6 linked regions of the Kluyveromyces lactis genome follow. The protein of the gene in region 2 interacts with the protein of the main gene of each other region in a biochemical or structural test. Links are inferred from orthologs where the notes say so. Each region holds a gene or a part of one and is shown on either strand. Other genes may lie near its edges.

Evidence for each region.
Region 1: the proteins of HRT1 (region 2) and DCN1 form a complex in vitro, tested with the Saccharomyces cerevisiae proteins (2 studies listed by BioGRID). The link is inferred for Kluyveromyces lactis from reciprocal best matches to the Saccharomyces cerevisiae genes HRT1 and DCN1.
Region 3: the proteins of HRT1 (region 2) and CDC34 form a complex in vitro, tested with the Saccharomyces cerevisiae proteins (21 studies listed by BioGRID, with this or other methods). The link is inferred for Kluyveromyces lactis from reciprocal best matches to the Saccharomyces cerevisiae genes HRT1 and CDC34.
Region 4: the proteins of HRT1 (region 2) and CDC53 form a complex in vitro, tested with the Saccharomyces cerevisiae proteins (5 studies listed by BioGRID, with this or other methods). The link is inferred for Kluyveromyces lactis from reciprocal best matches to the Saccharomyces cerevisiae genes HRT1 and CDC53.
Region 5: the proteins of HRT1 (region 2) and UBC12 form a complex in vitro, tested with the Saccharomyces cerevisiae proteins (2 studies listed by BioGRID). The link is inferred for Kluyveromyces lactis from reciprocal best matches to the Saccharomyces cerevisiae genes HRT1 and UBC12.
Region 6: the proteins of HRT1 (region 2) and CDC4 form a complex in vitro, tested with the Saccharomyces cerevisiae proteins (2 studies listed by BioGRID). The link is inferred for Kluyveromyces lactis from reciprocal best matches to the Saccharomyces cerevisiae genes HRT1 and CDC4.

Annotation. Positions count from the first base shown.
Region 1 is NC_006040.1:1,374,428-1,377,147, forward strand, and holds DCN1 (NEDD8 ligase DCN1), read left to right. Parts: upstream 1-1,225; coding exon 1,226-1,363; intron 1,364-1,452; coding exon 1,453-2,220; downstream 2,221-2,720. Other genes in the region: APC2 (anaphase promoting complex subunit 2), read right to left, coding at 1-1,111; TAF12 (Taf12p), read left to right, coding at 2,502-2,720. UniProt on the Saccharomyces cerevisiae protein: Required for neddylation of cullin components of SCF-type E3 ubiquitin ligase complexes. Neddylation of cullins play an essential role in the regulation of SCF-type complexes activity.
Region 2 is NC_006041.1:650,215-652,306, forward strand, and holds HRT1 (SCF ubiquitin ligase complex subunit HRT1), read left to right. Parts: upstream 1-1,259; coding exon 1,260-1,592; downstream 1,593-2,092. Other genes in the region: mediator complex subunit MED7, read right to left, coding at 42-683; prephenate dehydratase PHA2, read right to left, coding at 1,941-2,092. UniProt on the Saccharomyces cerevisiae protein: Core component of multiple cullin-RING-based E3 ubiquitin-protein ligase complexes (CRLs), which mediate the ubiquitination of target proteins.
Region 3 is NC_006040.1:771,437-774,173, reverse strand, and holds CDC34 (SCF E2 ubiquitin-protein ligase catalytic subunit CDC34), read right to left. Parts: upstream 1,380-2,737; coding exon 501-1,379; downstream 1-500. UniProt on the Saccharomyces cerevisiae protein: Catalyzes the covalent attachment of ubiquitin to other proteins. Capable, in vitro, to ubiquitinate histone H2A. Mediates the initiation of DNA replication (transition of G1 to S phase in cell cycle).
Region 4 is NC_006042.1:536,431-540,720, forward strand, and holds CDC53 (cullin CDC53), read left to right. Parts: upstream 1-1,490; coding exon 1,491-3,929; downstream 3,930-4,290. Other genes in the region: SRF1 (phospholipase D regulator), read left to right, coding at 1-675. UniProt on the Saccharomyces cerevisiae protein: Core component of multiple cullin-RING-based SCF (SKP1-CUL1-F-box) E3 ubiquitin-protein ligase complexes which mediate the ubiquitination and subsequent proteasomal degradation of target proteins.
Region 5 is NC_006039.1:1,509,385-1,511,812, reverse strand, and holds UBC12 (NEDD8-conjugating protein UBC12), read left to right. Parts: upstream 1-1,373; coding exon 1,374-1,928; downstream 1,929-2,428. Other genes in the region: KLLA0_C17270g (uncharacterized protein), read right to left, coding at 1-884; DPA10 (Dpa10p), read right to left, coding at 2,417-2,428. UniProt on the Saccharomyces cerevisiae protein: Accepts the ubiquitin-like protein NEDD8/RUB1 from the UBA3-ULA1 E1 complex and catalyzes its covalent attachment to other proteins. The major substrate is CDC53/Cullin.
Region 6 is NC_006040.1:647,484-651,378, reverse strand, and holds CDC4 (SCF ubiquitin ligase complex subunit CDC4), read left to right. Parts: upstream 1-1,451; coding exon 1,452-3,395; downstream 3,396-3,895. Other genes in the region: KLLA0_D07568g (FAD-dependent oxidoreductase), read right to left, coding at 1-753. UniProt on the Saccharomyces cerevisiae protein: Substrate recognition component of a SCF (SKP1-CUL1-F-box protein) E3 ubiquitin-protein ligase complex which mediates the ubiquitination and subsequent proteasomal degradation of target proteins. Recognizes and binds to phosphorylated target proteins.

The sequences.
Region 1 (2,720 bases), on a different chromosome or scaffold from region 2:
GCTCTAACTTTTCAAGATGTACGGAACTACCATCAGTTGATGATGCAATTTTGAACCGTTCATTATTTTGGAATGGAAATATCCCGAGTAGTAGCGTTTTTATAATATCCGGTCTTGGATTCAAATATACTCTTACCGCCTTTGATAGCGATCGGAGACAAATGCCCATCGGATCAATTATCTTTAAACATTTCACCGTCTTAATGTAATAATACAGTATTTCGCAAGTTAAAAGACTTGAGGTGAGAAACCTTGATACAAATCCGTGATATAAGGTCTCAAGCACTTTTGTGCCGACAGTTTTTATGTCTTTATTCAGGATGCTCCTCAATTCAAGCAAGCATTTCCTCGAAGCAGGAAATTTCGGTACAATATCCGTATAAAACTCGTCGCATTTATATTTGATATAGTTTTTCTCGAAAGATTGATATATTATGGCTGTCAATTCATGATCATCTTCTATAATCAACAACTTGGAGAACTTGGACCAAAAATCTTTGATGAAATGGTTATAAGTGTTCATTACTAAGTATCGATCGTCAATCTTATTTTTCATTAGTTTCTGTGACATCTGATCTACTTTTAGGTTTATTATCCTAACATTGAACTCAATCTCTTGTCCATCAAATGCCGGTGCCAACCATTGATACATTTGATCAAACCTAACTAGATCATTATCGAGAATATGTGACTCTAATTTCGCATGCAATTGTTTCCTGAATTCATTATTCTTTTTCATCAACAACCGTTTGAATGAAATCATCTCCTCCTTTATCCAGTATACTGACGTTCCAAACATGAATTCGACCTTAGATATGTATAGTTTCTCTAGCTTGATCATATCCTTCCAGTTGACTATATCATCAAATTGTAAGAAGAAATGCGTTCGTATAAGCGTGAGGTAGTACTGCTCGATGAGAAACCGCGTTCTTTCATCGCTCTGCTCTAACACAACTTTCAAACATTGTTTAATTCGTAATGTCGGTATTTGTGGTTGGAATGTGGGATTGAGCCACGCAAGAACCATATCTACCTCTTCTTCTAAATTCGAAGCTAGGTTAAGTAGAATTTTCTCATGAAGTAATTTAAGTTCGTCATCAGTCTTAGTCATTCGGTCAACGGTGCTGGGTCCCTTTAGTCCTGCTTCTCATCACTTTTCACTATGACCATTACGTTTGTTGACATATTTTAAATATACAGACAAGTTCATTTTAAGTGAAATTACATGTTTTACTTCATATTCGTTTCGAGTTTTAGGGTAAAGAAGAAAGCAATCTACTCGCGACAAAACGCCAGAGCAAGCGATCATTTACTCGTGGATAACAACCCTTCAGAAATTTCATCGTATTGTGTTTTTATAATGGTATGTTTTTTACTATGCCTCTACCCTCTGGTCAGGTGAATGACACCTTTACTAACAAATGCTAATCAAATAATCATTTGGAAAAATAGGAGAAAGAGTTCATGAACCTCACAGGATGCACGTACTCTGTTGCACAGGAATACCTTCGAAAGAATGGAGGGCGTGTCGAGTACGCTTTGAACGATTATTATGATAATGTGGATACCATTGGAGGTATGCGTCAATCTTACAATCCCAGTTTAGTGGCTATCTTTGAGAAGTACTCGAATGGCGTTTCGGCAACAGAATGGGACTCTTCTGGGCTAATACGGTTTATTGAAGACCTCGGTATATCGATAGAGGACCCAATCACGCTATGTCTTTCTCAAATGCTATGCATCGACGATTTAACAAAACCAGTATCTCGAGAACAATTCCTAAATGCCTGGTCAGATTTATGTTGCGACACTTTAAGAAAGATGAAAGCCTATTTACATACGCTAGAAGAGAGACTGGAGACGGACAAAGATTATTTCAAATCAATCTATTCCTACACTTTCCCATTGAATACAGACGAGGGATCTCGTCATTTACCTAAAGATGTCGCAATAGAATACTGGAATATTTTCTTTAAAGACAATAAATATGCGTTGAAAATCTCCAAGGAGAGACTTAATTCATGGCTTGAATTCATCAATTCTGACGACTCGGATCCAAGGAAACAGAACATCTCAAACGATATATGGTTGATGTTCTATAAGTTCATTGAACAATACCCCAATGACGAAAGTTTAAAACAAAACTATGATGAAATGGCTGCTTGGCCGCTACTTATAGACGAATATTACGAATTCTTGGAAGAAAATGACAAGCTGTGATGCAGCGCAAACACCTATATCGCTTATGAACATATTCATAGATACATATATTCATATATACGCATTGTGTATGTTGTCAGGGTAACACTTGTCTTCCTATTCCTTTCAGCATCAAAATTCAAAAATATTTCAAAGATCAACAAGTGAATAACAATCGAAAGTAGTTGCCGCGAGGTTAAAGCAAGGGCAAAACGGGGGCAAAGAAGGCCAGCACGAGGGTATTTCGACACTTAAAGTGGGCTTGCGGTGTGCATTTCGGATTACGAACCAAGATACGGACAATGTCAGGCCAAGCAGGTAATGTACAGCTGCAGAACCTCACGCCAGCTTCTATGCAGCAATTGGCGGATAGACTAAAATCGTTAGTTAACGAAGCTAAGCGAATTGGTGTAGATACCAAGGAAGGGAAAGAGCTATTGAGACAAGCGGCCCGTATTAAGGCTTTGTACGAGGCTTACAGTAAACAGAGGCAGCAGCAGGCCCAAGCGCAGGCTGGAGCA
Region 2 (2,092 bases):
TTTTAGAGATCGCCTTAACAACTGGTATGCTGGGATATATATCACAGTTGAGCCAGCTTGGATTCCACTTCATCACAGACTTTATTGATGTGTTCCATTTCCTTGCGTTTATGTTCCAATTGTTCTTCAAATAACATGATTAGCGATTCACGACTTTGGTGCGGTCTATATTCGTTAAGAAGATGGTGAATATTGATGGCTATCACCCTTATCTCGTCAAGTTTTTTCTCATATCTACTTGAATCCACTCCCAATATTCCTATAAGCTCTAGGAAATTTAGTAATAGTGATTTCATTAGTTTTTTCGACTCTTGGATCTTGTTCTCGTAATTTGTCCCACTTTGCGAATCTTGAGGACTAGGTTCAACTTCTGTTGTGGTCCCGTTTTCCAATTCCGTGACAGATTCCCGTTTCCTATATAATTGTTCAATTCCCATCTGTGATAACTCCGGTAGTTCATCCTTAATTTTCCATACATTACCAAATGCTCTGTATGAACCATCCCTGGGTAGTTCTGGCTTCACAAAATATTTCAACTGCTCCCTCTGTTTTGTTGTACATTTCGCTAGTTTTTCTTCATCTTTGCCACATTCTCTAAATAGTTTTGAGTTCTCTTCGGTGAAAAATTGAATGAACGGTGGTGGTGGAGGATACAATGATGATACTTCGTTCTTGTCACTCATGGTCCTTTATATTTTAGCTTCTGACTGGCAGTATTGTCTCTCACTTTCACAATCACTTTCAAAAAAATCTTTTATTGAGAGGGATTTCAATACTTTAAAGGACGGTCGAGGTTCCAGTTTATCTTGAATCTGGACAGATTATGGCCACGGAGGTCTAACACAGGTCTGATATCGCCAACACGCTTTCCTGTGTTCACTGATTTATCACTTGTTTCTGTTTGTGCTGGTTACTATAAGTTGGATTTCCATTTCATGTACAATTTCACATCCGGGTAACAAATGTTTGTATTCACGTGATATGAATATCACTCTTGTCTCTCTTTCAACATGAATTCTAATGTTTCTGAACGTTTGGGCAGTTACGAAAGTCCATAGATCCCATTATAGTCCACAGGGTATATCTTTTGTCATTCATAAGACTACTCTATTCGATCATTAATAGTTTAAAAAAAGGTTTTCACACCCGCGTTTCCAAGGATTGAACGACAGTTAGACCTGGGACTTAGAACGTCTGTTTGTAATCTGTTTTAAAGAAGGAAGGATTTATATTTACCAATAGTAGCTGATCGTTAGGAGATGGCCACGGATTTGGGACCAATAGAGGCACAGAGCGGGACAGAGGGTGCTACTGAGTCAAAGCCCAATTTTGAGATAACGAAATGGACAGCGGTAGCTTTTTGGTCATGGGATATTGACGTTGATAATTGTGCCATTTGCAGAAATCATATTATGGAACCATGTGTAAATTGTCAGCAGGAAGCAACTTTCAACTCGGAGCATGAATGTGTAGCCGCCTGGGGTGAGTGCAACCACGCATTCCACCTACATTGTATTACCCAATGGATCAAGAGCAGAAATGTTTGTCCGTTGGATAATAAACCTTGGAAATTGGCTCGGTGTGGCAAGTGAAGATAGAGTGTTAAGCCTACAAAGATGCATTATCGAAATTTAATATCGCTATTGGACTGTTCGAACCGCAAAAAATGTTACTCAATTTAGATTTCCAATGATTTAATACCAAGCGGATAGTGTGGATTTAATATCTACCATTGGGAAGAAGCTTAGATAATCTGGCTTCTGTGTATATATAGTTACGTAACGAGCTTCTAATGGAATTATCGACAGGTTCGATCGGTCCCAAAACAATAGACAGGACAGCGTTGTTCCATGAATACAACTAGGATGCGTACATTCCTCTTCGATTGCTTCGTTTTTAAGATCAGTATTTGCATTTTGTTTCTAAACATAATGCATATATCATGGGATTTGGTAATACAGTGCGTTTCGGTAGAATTTACCCCAGTGAATCCATTTTGCGCAGTTTTCGTCAAACCTTTTCGCCAGAAGTTCGTAATCAGTACCGTAATTGCCATAAAACTCAATAAAGAAGCAATATTGCCATTTTCTTT
Region 3 (2,737 bases), on a different chromosome or scaffold from region 2:
CTTTGTCTTTCTTACAACCCCCTTATATCTCATATCCTGATGGAGGTCCAAAACCAGAAAAAACATTCCATAGATATTGCACACAGCACCGGCTAGGGTTACTGTCATCGAAAAGTGTTATTAAGTTATTAGTTACTTGATGCATCGTTAGTTGTTCACTTTCCAATATAATATCTGAGGGGCTGAAATGTAGATTCAGCGTTATGGTGAATTGAAAAAGGACAGTTTCCAGTTTTATGTTTGGTTATGACAATCATCATTTAGAGGTGCGAATGCTCCAAACAAAATCAATAAAGACGTTGAAGTTGTTACAGGTTCATGAATTTATACTGGAGGTCAAAATAGTATATCACTACAGTAGTAACCAAACTTCAACGTGTGTTTATAATTGTATATTGAAGTAGAAAGACAAGACAGTAGTGAGGAAAGAAATGTGAATGAATGTGATACGCTGAGAAGCACTGCTTCTGAGGGAATAAAAAAGTTGTAAGGGATTCATATCATTTCATTTCTGCATCTTCTAACTCCTCGCTTTCTTCCATTAATTTACTTCTTCTATCCATTACGCTTTCATCTAGAGAATCTTCTGCTTCTTCAGGCACCAGATCTTCATCTTCATCTGAGTCGATATCGTTTTTGTTAGCTTTTTTGCTGAAATTCAAGTTTGAAGAATCTTTGCTGAAAACATCGTCATTATCCTCTTCATCTTCTGAATCCTCGTATGCATAGATATCCACATCTTCATCACCTTCGTCACTGTCGTACCAGAAATTATCGGCAACGGTTTCTTTGATGGTGTCAATACCTTCATTTGCCTTTCTTTGGGAAACATACGCCTTTGTTGATTCTGGCATCACGAACCCTTGCGGGATATCCTGTTTTGATCTTTCCACTTCGAGTTTTACCTTTTGTTTGTACTGATCCGGATTCTTCTTGTAGTCAACAGCAGCGTCGACGTTAGCTGGAGAGGAAATATTTGGATCTTCTAACAAGGAGACAATAGAAATCAACACTGATTCCACAGTCTGTACTGGAGACCAAGTTTCTTCATCGGGCTCATCCGAGGTGGGGTTCCCCGATTGGTGTAAGATAGAAATACACAACCTACCATCACGGTAAACGTTCGGGTGGTAAATTGCTGGAGTAAATCTAAAAGTTGGAGGAGAAAATGGGAAATCGTCCGGGAATTTCATTTGAGCCTTGAAATAACCTCCGTGGTAGATGGATTCCTCATTTAAGACCATTACACCGATGTTCCACAAGAATATGTTTGAATCATCTTCTAATGCAATATGGAAACTAGGAATAGCCTTCTTCGGATCAGTGAGTTCCCTGTATTGTCGTAATAACAAAGAAGCTGCAGTATTCTTGCCGCTCATACTTTAGAAAGAGTATTTCTATGGTAAAAAGATGTTCTGTGTGCTGATTGAAACTTCCCCCTTTTTCCAAAACTGATATATCCAGACCAAGAAAGTTCAGTTATTAGGGCTGACGATTAGAAGTAACTGTTGCTTGGTGTTCCTCAGTGATAAGATATCTCCGAGTAAATTTGACAATAATATGTTGCTAGAACTTAACAAAAACGTTAGGAAGAGAAAGAAAAAAGTAATGAAACGTAAAGCCAAACAAAAGATAGGACAATACAATATACCAACTGAGTAGTGTGAGTTTTTGCGTTTGTACAAGTATACCCGCCCAAAAGTCTATGCAACCTCTCCTTATCACCTGTTTATTGATACTCTCATTTAAATGCAAATACAATAATTTGTAATTAAAATTAATAGTTGTCTGTGTTTTGACCTTTTAAATTTCTTCTGAAACTGGTTTACAAAAAAGAACCAAGCTGAATGCCGAAAAGTCAAGAAAAACCGTCCCAAGACAAAATAAGCAAAAACCGTTGGGTTGTGTACTCTTGGAAGATACCGTTCTATTGTTCAGGTTGGGGGTTTAATCGATATTTATACTATAGCTATATGTCTCTATATTTTTTACCGTCTTGTAAGCTTTTCGTCCCCAGGCATTATTCATGTTGATTTGCACAACCAGGTATGCGTTAATAATCCATGGATGAAAGTAACAGTATTTAAGGCATCAACATTTACGCATGAATGTTTATTTTCCAATTGATGGGGAATGCGGGGGCCAATTACATCAATTTTTTCGAATGTATCTAATGCATCCGGCAAAATATCACTTCTACCGCATCGTTGTGAGAGCGTGCATTTTAACTGATAAGCTGAACACTAGGATTAAATGTGAATCGGAGAACTCTGGTAGTCAGTTGTTACGTTCAAGATTCTTATTTATACTCTAGACTAGTTCTTCATCGGGCAGTAGTATATTCTGCTCGGCGTCAGCAAACGTTAGACTCGCCGCTTTCACCGATAGGAACAGTGGAAAAGTTCACGTGACCTTAGGTCACGTGAACACCAATCACCATCTCCTTCTTTTCTCATTCTCGTAAGGTTTTCCGAACTGAGCCATAGGGCAATAACGCTCATCAAGTCTGAATCGTACCATTTTGAACTATACAGCACTTCACCATAGCTCAACAGGCCTAATTCCCTTACATATTCACCTCAAGGTGGATGTTTTGCTGAGATCCTGCCGTCCTCACATTCGGAACGTTATAAGATTTGTATCTCGCGACGGCGTGTTGGAGTTGCAACTCGATGCTATATGTTTTCTCGTCTGCGCGCTTTTCTTTGTGTGCCGAAATTTGTTTTCGTCCAAAGTA
Region 4 (4,290 bases), on a different chromosome or scaffold from region 2:
GCGAAACAATCTTCGGAAACTCATTCAAGTGACGATGGGAGGTTTCATTCTATTTTAAACAAGGGGAGAAATAGTGTGAATAGTAAGAAAAACTCTTGGGCTACCCTTGAACAAAGAAAAAAACAACAATGGTTACCAAGACTACGAAGACTTTTATTGCAAAGTCAATATCTACCTTTGTCGTTGAGATTTCTCATTGTGATACTCTGCATAATCTCTCTTGGCCTAGCAAGTAGAATATACCAGAACTCGGATTCCACTGTCGAATCCTTCGAATCATCAATACCTCAACAACCAAGTACTATCATGGCGCTATGTGTTAATTCCATCGCTATATTATATTTGGTTTATATCGGATATGACGAATTTTCAGGGAAACCGCTAGGAATTAGAGATCCTATGACTAAAGTCAGACTAATTATGCTGGACCTTTTATTCATCATATTTTCAAGTGCTAATTTATCGCTTACCTTCAATACATTATATGATAATCGATGGGTCTGCACATCTACTGGAACGTCACAAGTTGATCCTCCGCACGTAGGATATATATGTGACAAACAAAGGGCGCTCGCGGCGTTCCTTTTCTTGGTCTTGGTCACTTGGGTTGTAACGTTCAGTATTAGCATATTAAGGGTCGTGGAAAGAGTCAGTTCTGGTGCTCCAAGACCCTAAGACTATTCTTGAAACGGGCCCTTCCGACTTAAGACGCCTGTAGATTAATTGTTTTAAATAAATCATTATTCCATGAGAGTACATAATTTGTTTACAAACCCAACAAAAGAAAATCAAAAGTACCAAAGAAAACCTTATAAACATATAAGTTTGGGCCCTGTATTAAACAACATAATTAGACGACTGCAGTATGCTAAAGTATATTTGCCGAAAGCTGTAATCCTTACCCTCTTTTAAGTACTTTAATAATAAGATCAGATTCATATTGAGGAACAATTCAGGATTTTTTGATATTCCAATAATGTGTGGCAAACGAAAACAAAAATATAAGAAATTATAGTAACATAGTATGCAATTATATAAATCAGTATATAACAAGTAAGGCTGTCAAAAAGGGTCAAAATATCGAACAACTCGGAGATACTTCACGATAGAAGCAATATAAAGTTTTCCTGTGTGACCCTTTTTTATAGGATCCCGCCAACAAGTGGTGCATTTCATATTTAGCAGTGAAGGCGCTTTCTATTCTGTTTTATCCTTTCTTTCGATTCATTGAAAAGGGTTGCTCGACTAATTGGGACTCGAACTGTATTTTCTATCGCTGCTGATTTCAGTTTACTACCAAATCTTTATTTACAAGTACCGCTACCTGCGCCCTTGGGAATACTATTATTCTAAAGCGTATATTTAACTGGGTTAGTGGGAAGCAAGTCTCATTAACGCTTCAGAAAAGATAACTTAGGCATCGTTCAATAGAAATATTACTGGTAAAAGAAACTACACGTGCAATCAATAAGAAACAAGTCTAATAAGCTATGGCAGACACATTACCTAGATCAGATGATTTGGAAGCAACATGGAACTTTGTGAAGCCTGGGATCGACCAGATCTTGGATCGTGATGGTACATCGGATATAAAGACAAACAGAGTTCAGAAAGTTCTTTCCCCAAGGATGTACATGGAGGTATACACGGCGATTTATAATTACTGTGTCAACAAGTCACGTTCTACAGGTCATTTCCAATCTGATATTATAGGGAAGCAAATGAATCAATCTTCGATTCTTGTTGGAGGAGAAATCTATGAGAACTTAAAGAATTATTTGAAAGATTACATATCGAATTTAAAGAAAGATGATAATGTAACGTTTTTGAATTTCTACGTGAGACGCTGGGAAAGATTTACAATCGGAGCTATTTTCTTAAATCGGGTCTTCGACTATATGAACCGTTACTGGGTGCAAAAGGAAAGAAGCGATGGTAAAAGACACATTTTCGATGCACATACTTTGTGCTTGATGACGTGGAAAGAAGTTATGTTTGAAACACATAAGACGGAACTCGTTACTGAAATATTCGATCAATTGGATTTGCAGCGGAGGGGTGAATTAGTGAATAAATCTGCTATTACAATAGCAATAAAATCCTTTGTGATATTAGGTATCGATCCATCAGACTTAAAGAAGTTGAATTTGAATGTGTATATTCAAAACTTCGAACAGCCATTCCTACAGAAGACAAAAGAATACTACACGAAGATGTCCAACGAATTCTTAGACTCTCACAGTGTCTCTGAATACATCGAAAAGGCAAATGAATGCATAATCTTCGAAGAAAAGGACATGATTTTATATTTGGATTCCCATACATCGGCACCATTGTCTACAGCTTTGAACCAAGTTTTGATTGCTGATCATGCCGATAAGTTAAAAAAAGAGTTTATTTTACTTTTGGATAAGCAAGATCAAAGATTGATTAAGCTCATATACGAATTGATGAAACGCGATTACCGAATGTTACCAGATTTGGTGGATACTTTTGATATGTACATCAAGAGAGTCGGAAATGAAGAAATCGATAAATTAATTGATGCACATAATAAGAGTGCAGCACAAGATTCAAACGCTAAAAGGCAACCGGGATTATCACCTAGAGATTACTTGAAATGTTTAATAGGAGTTTACAAACTCTTTTACAATATCACCATAGAATGTTTTGAAAATCATCCTGCTTTTGCTAAGGCTTTAGACTATGGATGCCGTTGCTTCATTAACAATAACTCATTCGCTATTCCTCCTGGTTCACCTAAATTTGCGACTTCTAGAGCTCCTGAGATGTTGGCGAAATACAGTGACCAGTTGCTCAAAAAGTCGACCAAGAATAATGAACAGGTAGATTTGACCGTGGATGATATCATGACTGTCTTTAAGTTCTTGGCCGACAAGGATGCATTTGAGATGCATTACCGAAAAAATTTAGCAAAAAGATTAATTCATGGATCATCAAAATCAGAAGCTGATGAAGAAATCATTATCCAAAGACTACAGTCCGAGAACAGTCTTGAATACACCAGCAAGATTACCAAGATGCTACAAGATGTCAAATTATCTAAAAACTTGCATGATGAATTTTCCACGTTCATTTCACAAGATGGGAATAATACTACTAGCGCCGCAACTTTCAGAAGCAAAGTTCCTGAATTAGAACCTCTAATTCTTGCAGACAATGTATGGCCCTTCAGCTATCAACCAACAGAATTCGCATTACCACCAGTTCTTGAACATAGTAAGAACAAATTGGAAACCATGTATACTGACAAGCATTCTGGTAGAATATTGAAATGGCTATGGCCAATGTCTCGTGGTGAAATCAAGGCACATATTGGTAAACCAGGCAAACCACCATTCCAATTCACTGTGACTATTTTCCAAATGGCGATTCTTACCTTGTTTAATGATATATCTACGTTGACCTTTGAACAAATACAAGAGAGAACCAATTTGAAGGCTACACAGATTGCGTCTAATATGTATCCGTTTGTGAAGATGAAACTATTAATACAATCTCCAGAAGGGGTGGAAAGTATGATCAAGTTAGATACAAAGTACACCTTAAACAAACCCTATCGATTATCGAAAACTAGTGTTAATTTTGCAGCCGCTGTGAAAAATGATCTAACCTTTACTGCAACCGTTAATGGATCTGCATTAGATGAAACAGAGGCATCTGAGCAAAAGAAAGCAGAAAAGGAACTAAATCAACAAAGATTGATGTTCTTAAGAGCATGCATAGTGAGAATTATGAAGGCAAAGAGAAAACTACCACACAGTTCATTGATGAACGAGTGTATTGCCGAATCTCAACAGAGATTCAACGCCAAGGTGTCCATGATCAAAAAAGCTGTCGACAATCTAATAGAACAAGAGTATTTGAAAAGGACAGACGACGGTGAATGCTATGAATATCTAGCGTAAACGCTCACTTTTTTATCCACCTTTTACTTCGCCATACATATGTATAAGAAATGTATATGTATCAACATATATTTCGCAACCATTCGACCATTCGACCAAAGGTCAACCTTGGGCCCCATATTTTCAAGCATGAATATTCCCAAGAAAAAAAGAGAGACATCATGAAAGGACCGACGAGTATACTATTCATTACTCAATAGCCAAACCTAAATGCTTGGGTAGCCCTCTCTGCTCTCTTGCTGCTCTCACTACTCTCAGTGACTACCTTAGCATCATTCGGAAGGTGTTTGTCAATACCTGCTGCAAAAATCTACGTTCATCGGATTTAAAATCCACAGGAATATTCACGAAAATTGGTCAT
Region 5 (2,428 bases), on a different chromosome or scaffold from region 2:
AGCAAAATAAGTTTCTGAAATGGATATTTCCCAATTGACAAGAGTAAATCTGATTCGGGCTCATTTGCTGTTCGAGTAATTGAAATTATAGGCCCATCCGATTTGAACCATGTATATGCCTTGGGGCCCCCTCCATTATTGTTGCCAGTATCAAAAATCATTACTGAACCATTTCTGAATCCAATGAGGAATACATCCTGCCCAAGCAAGATACAGCTCATTGCGTCGCCGAATTTTTTCGGAAGTTTATTCTCTTTTGAAGTCTTCAATCGAGTTCCGTTATATTGAATCAACTGGTACGCTCGGGATGATAGAAACAGAAGATATGTATCTGTCTCATTTTCAAATGAGTTCACATCAATAACTTCAGGTAGTTTCAACTTTCCTCCTGCCATTATTTTCTCTGTGTTGAAATTGAAATCATTGAAGCGGTTTATACTGATGGTAAATTGGTCGCATGTTTTGAAGTACGTTACCGTTTCATGGGCGGATGAGTCTCTATTAAATGAAACTTTGAAGGAATCATCAGACTCATCGATAGATAATTCAAAGAGACGGAAACTTGCATCGTTCAGTATAATGGAGTGACCAGTTCGTCCCATTTGGATTTCACTGGGCCCCTGCTGAGAGATGAATGAGGGCAAAGTGTACGTAGTCGCCAGTTGAAGTGTTTTATTCTGAAACCTGAACCATTCGGGACGCGGTAGTGGATGGCCTTCTATGAGTGCATCTACGCATTTCACGTACTCTTTGTGTGCCACTGACCTGTTAAGACCATCTGGCAACTTTGATTCCTTTTTGTTCTTTCTATCACCAGCTTGTTCTTTGAAATATCTCTTCCTTACAGGATCATATGTCAAACCTGGCAACTGCGGCACGCTCATCTATAAAATATTTGGATGGTCACCACCAAGTGAAGGTCCTGCTTCACTAGGGAGTGGGCTATCTCTACTATATCTTCCTTTTTCTTCAAAGCTCATCACATTGGGATCAAACCTTATTTTCAATATTCAGTTAGATGCGAATATTTCAGTTATAACGCTTAGGAAGATTAGTCCTTTTTAAGGGAAACGCATCAATATTTCAGTTGTTGCGTGAACAGATACTGTTCTTTGTAATATGAATCTGGTGGCCCTTATGGTGACCAGTGAGCAATTAGATAACCGTAGCTTCTTTCGTCCTCTTTCCTTGTCGACCTTTTACGTTTTGATAGTAGTTATATGTATTTCGGTATGCAATGAAAAATCCAAATTTGAGAAAGAACTACTGATCCCAGAAGAAACCTTTTTATTTGAATAAAGGGCAGGCTTCGTACAACGGATATAAACTGGTACCACTCTGTATCAACTTCAAATTATCAATTTTCATAATCAATGCTCAAACTTCGAGCTCTAGCAGAGGCCAAGGCGAAAGCTAAGGAAGGGCAGGGACAAGAAACTACACCACAAGTCATCAAGCCATCATTGATAAGACTTAAGAAGGATTTAGAGAACATCGATCTCTCAGAACAGATATGTGAATATACTACATATTTAGATGAGAATCCAATGAGGGTCAATCTGGCAATTAAGCCAGATATCGGCTACTATGCTGGTGGGACATATTACTTCAATGTATTCATTAAGGATACTTACCCGATGGAACCACCAGTGGTGAAATGCATGCATAGGATATACCATCCTAATATCGATATAGATGGGAACGTGTGTTTGAATCTCCTTAGAGAGGACTGGACACCAGCATTAGATATTCAAAGTATCATCATCGGGATACTTTTCCTATTCCATGAACCAAATGGTAGGGATCCCTTGAATAAAGATGCAGCAAAGACGTTAATTGAAGATCCATTACGGTTCGAAAATAAGGTGAACCACAGCTTAAGAGGGAACAATATAGATGGAGTTTGGTATGATAAAATAATTTATTAATAGTTAAAATTATAATGTAATGACACATTTTTGTTCAACCAGAAAAGAGAAAGATATTCATTGCATTGTCTAACCTAAAAGAGAAGAGAGCATACACAGTATAGAAAAGTGAGTGAGTGATAGTAATTATATATAAGTAGGCGTGTGTGCGTGTGATTATTACTCAGACTCCGATTCTCAAGTAATAAAAAGGGGGAGGGTAAAAAAGAGTGTGATATGGGTAATATACCACATTAGCATAAAATAAGGTTCGAAGGAAAAAATTGACGGACTTCATCATCATAAAACAGATGTAAAGAAAAGTTACTTTATTCTTCCAAAAGCCAGTTTCGAAAGAACGCCGTAATTAAAAATCCAATTAAAAGAACAATGCGAAAACTTCTTCATCAGCTAAATAACGGTGTGAAACGAGTGTCAAATTTTAACCCAGAGAAGTGAAAGCTTTATGATTTGTGTAGAGGTAGCAGTCATAAGCAGAGAGGAAAATCTTATACTCTCAC
Region 6 (3,895 bases), on a different chromosome or scaffold from region 2:
GACGAAGGTCCAGTCACCACTCTTTGCTTGATGTGTGATAGTCGCATGTGCATATGGTATGGTGTCATGCTTGTCACCAACATCAAGTAATAAAGTTTGACCTCTGACAAGGAAACATTTAGGATCTAAACCTCCTTCCCATTGTAACCCACAACCTGAAGCATTGACCACAATATTAACATCAGGGTAAAGCTCGCAAATATCTTTTAATTTCTCAAGCTTGATTCTCTTTACTCTAATGTTAACGTTCTGTTGCTCACTCTTTTTCATTACCTGGTCGTAAAGGAACAGTAAATACAATGGAGCATTCAAACACCACGTTTCATAGCTACAACCGAAAGTGACACCTGCAGGCAAGTTGGAATCTTGCTGTTGGAATTTTTCCAAGCTGGATCCATTATACCCTGCTCCTAAGCGTTGGTATTCGATGCTCGGATTTTCTAACCAATCGATCCCGTTCATGAATTCAACAGTGGCCTCACTCAACCACTGCTTAGATTTACGTTTGAAATAGTTATAAGTCACTCTGGTATATTCACTCTCACGTTTATCCGAAGCATAATCAGAATCTCTGTGTGGGAATGGTCTAAAATGAGCACCTGCCCATGGTGATGTGAACGTATGATTGATTGGCTGATCTTGCGGGAATTGTTCGGATACAATTGTTATAGTCCTGATATCGGGTCTTGTTTCCAGTAGTCTCAGCGCACTTGACAAACCAATAACACCGGCACCAACTATACAAACTGACATGCTCCAATATTCTGCTTTCTCAATTAACTAAACCTCGGCCGTGGCTGCCTATTTCCTGTTGTTCAAATTTATGAAACTTCTATTCATATCATATGTAAATCTAGTCAGATGTTTCATTCGATCGTCTTTTATGCAAATTGGAAATCACATTCAAACAAGAAAAGACGACTCAAACCCCCACATCTTAACCCGTAATAAGCAGCCAACTACATAGTGTTTGCGCCGGGAATTAACCAAAAAAATCGGTAGATTAACTAGGAACAGCTTCAAGGCATTTTTGTCCTGTCAGTATCGTATATCACCATTACAACCGAGATCGCTGCTCTGGTAATAATTACATTCTAACACGTGACCTGTGTTGCATGCAAGGTAAATACCTATGTAGGTCTAAAAGATAGAATGGTTTAGCTTAATATATTAGCCTCAAAGCGTTTAATAGCTAACTAATAGATGGCGAGAGTATCTCGCATAGATATAGGGACTGATAACATTGATTCAACAAATCTATGTTTATTTGCACTGTTATCGGCACTCTCAACCAAAATCAAAATTAAACTCTTGTACGATTTCTTTGTACAAAACGAAGTCACATCAACATATTGACTGACAGACGGAATATTGTTTAGCAGAAAGATAAGGAGTAACGGCAGGTGTGGGGTAGTCGTAAGTAACTTCCATTAGTTAAGGGTATAAGTAACATGGATCTCAATAGGCATGCGACCCCAGGGGTACCACAGTATCCTCTACAGAATGTTCCCGTTCCATACCGGTACCAACTTCATCCTCAGCCAGCGTCTCAGAGTAAACGAAGTATACATTATCCCCTTCAACAGCTTGACGACGATTCTGACAGCGACGGTCAGTATCACAAAAAGTTAAAGCCAAATCAGCAGGCTGTTTCCAGTCCCAACTTGATCGAGGATCAAGATGGGCCGTTACCAATATCGCCGATTGCTTCCCCATGTCACACACCTGAAGTGGAGGAACCAAGTATTGACGAAGTCATAGGGACTACAGTAGCTAGACTCAGCAGTACGACATCTCATCCAAATGCTTTAACAAGTCTTATATTTGGGCTTGTTTCCAACATGGATAGAACTCAGCTTTCAGATTTGGTCAGTATAATAACCGATAACTTGAAACGAGATTTGTTCCAATCACTACCTAATGAAATCACTGTGAAGATCCTATTAAATTTATCTTCGGAAGACATCTTCGCATGTTTGTTGGTTAACAGAAATTGGAATAGGTTAATCGAGGAGGCGCCTGTTGTTTGGAAATGGCTAATGCTTAACGAAGGTTTTGTCACCGAAGATCAGTTCCCGTCGTACTGTAACAGTTTGCCCAGTAAATATAAGCATTTGATCAACCCTGACGACAGATTTAGATTAGATTTCCTGGAGAACAACTGGTGTCTCCAGAACTGGTACGATCCAAACTATAAACCAGGGAGGACTTGTCTTGATGGTCATAGTACCAATGTTGTAACATGTCTACAATTTGAAAACAATTATATTATTACCGGAGCAGACGATAAGAAGATCAACGTGTATGACGCTGAGAATGATCTGTTCCTATTAGAATTAAACGGACATGAGGGCGGTGTGTGGGCACTGAAATTTGTGGACGGTAAGATTTTAGTTAGTGGTTCCACAGATAGAAGTGTGAGAATCTGGAACATCGAAACTGGTAAATGTACCCATGTTTTCAAAGGACACACATCGACGGTTAGATGTTTAGAAGTGGTTGAATATGGTGACAGCAAATACATTGTAACGGGGTCTAGAGACAATACCTTGCATGTGTGGAAACTTCCCCCCATGAAAGAGCTAGACAAGGGATCGCAGGAACCTATTTTCTACAGGACACCAGAGGAAAACCCATATTTTGTTGGGGTATTAAGAGGCCACATGTCTTCGGTAAGGACAGTGTCTGGTCATGGTAGAATTGTCATAAGTGGTTCATATGACCACAATTTGATGGTATGGGATATCATTAGTATGAAATTACTATATATTCTAACCGGTCACACCGACCGTGTGTACTCGACCATTTATGACTACAAGAGGAACAGGTGCATATCAGCAAGTATGGATACCACAGTGATGATCTGGGATCTCGAAAACATTGAAAATAATGGGACAACTACTACAATCAATGACGGTGCATCGATCAAAGTGGTTGGAAGCATGAAATGCCTTTATGGACATACAGCTTTAGTTGGTCTACTTTGCCTATCCAATAAATTTTTGGTTAGCGCTGCTGCAGACGGTTCGATACGCGGCTGGGATCCAAATGATTATTCAAGAAAGTTTTCGTTCCATCATACAAACCTGGCTGCTATCACTTCATTCTCCATGAACGATAACATTTTGGTTAGTGGATCGGAACGACAATTCAATGTATATAATTTAAGGACCGGTAAGCTGATACACAGGAAGCTACTCACAGATTCGGAACAAGTGTGGGGTATCAAATTAAATAACAGAAAATTAGTCGCTGCGATCGAGTCAGTGGGACACAGTTACGTAGAAATCTTGGATTTTGCTGCTCGGAATGGTGACAAGACTATCAGAACCCGGACTAGAACAAGAGTCGACCATCAAATATATCGAACGTCACTTTGGTCTTCCACTCTTTAACATTAACTATCAATTTAACTTGCATTACCACATCTGGTATCTCGCCGTATGGAAATATTCTACCATCAAATAAACTCTGTAATACCAATCCTCTGTATCTTTGTTCTCTTCTCTTCTCTTCAATGCCAGCAGACATAAAAAAGTTGTATGATTAATTTATCTACGGCATCACCTATCCCTAAGACATATATAGGAGTTTCAATACTATTTCTACGTGTTACAAACTTTTCAGCCACCCCAGTACTGGTGGATACAGTCGACTACTATACCAGACATATACAGTTCTCAACATTTACCTATCTATGTCTTCTTATCAAGATAGGGTCATCCCTAGGTGTGGAAAATTATGCCAAGGAATTAATCGGGTGTGTTTTGCGATGAGGAAAAAAGTAAGTTGCACATTGAAAAAAATGTCAAATTTACACAATATAAGTACCTCTTTCGATTTTGTCCACCTATTCTTGCAACATTCCAGTGCCTACTCAAGCATAGCGTCTTGG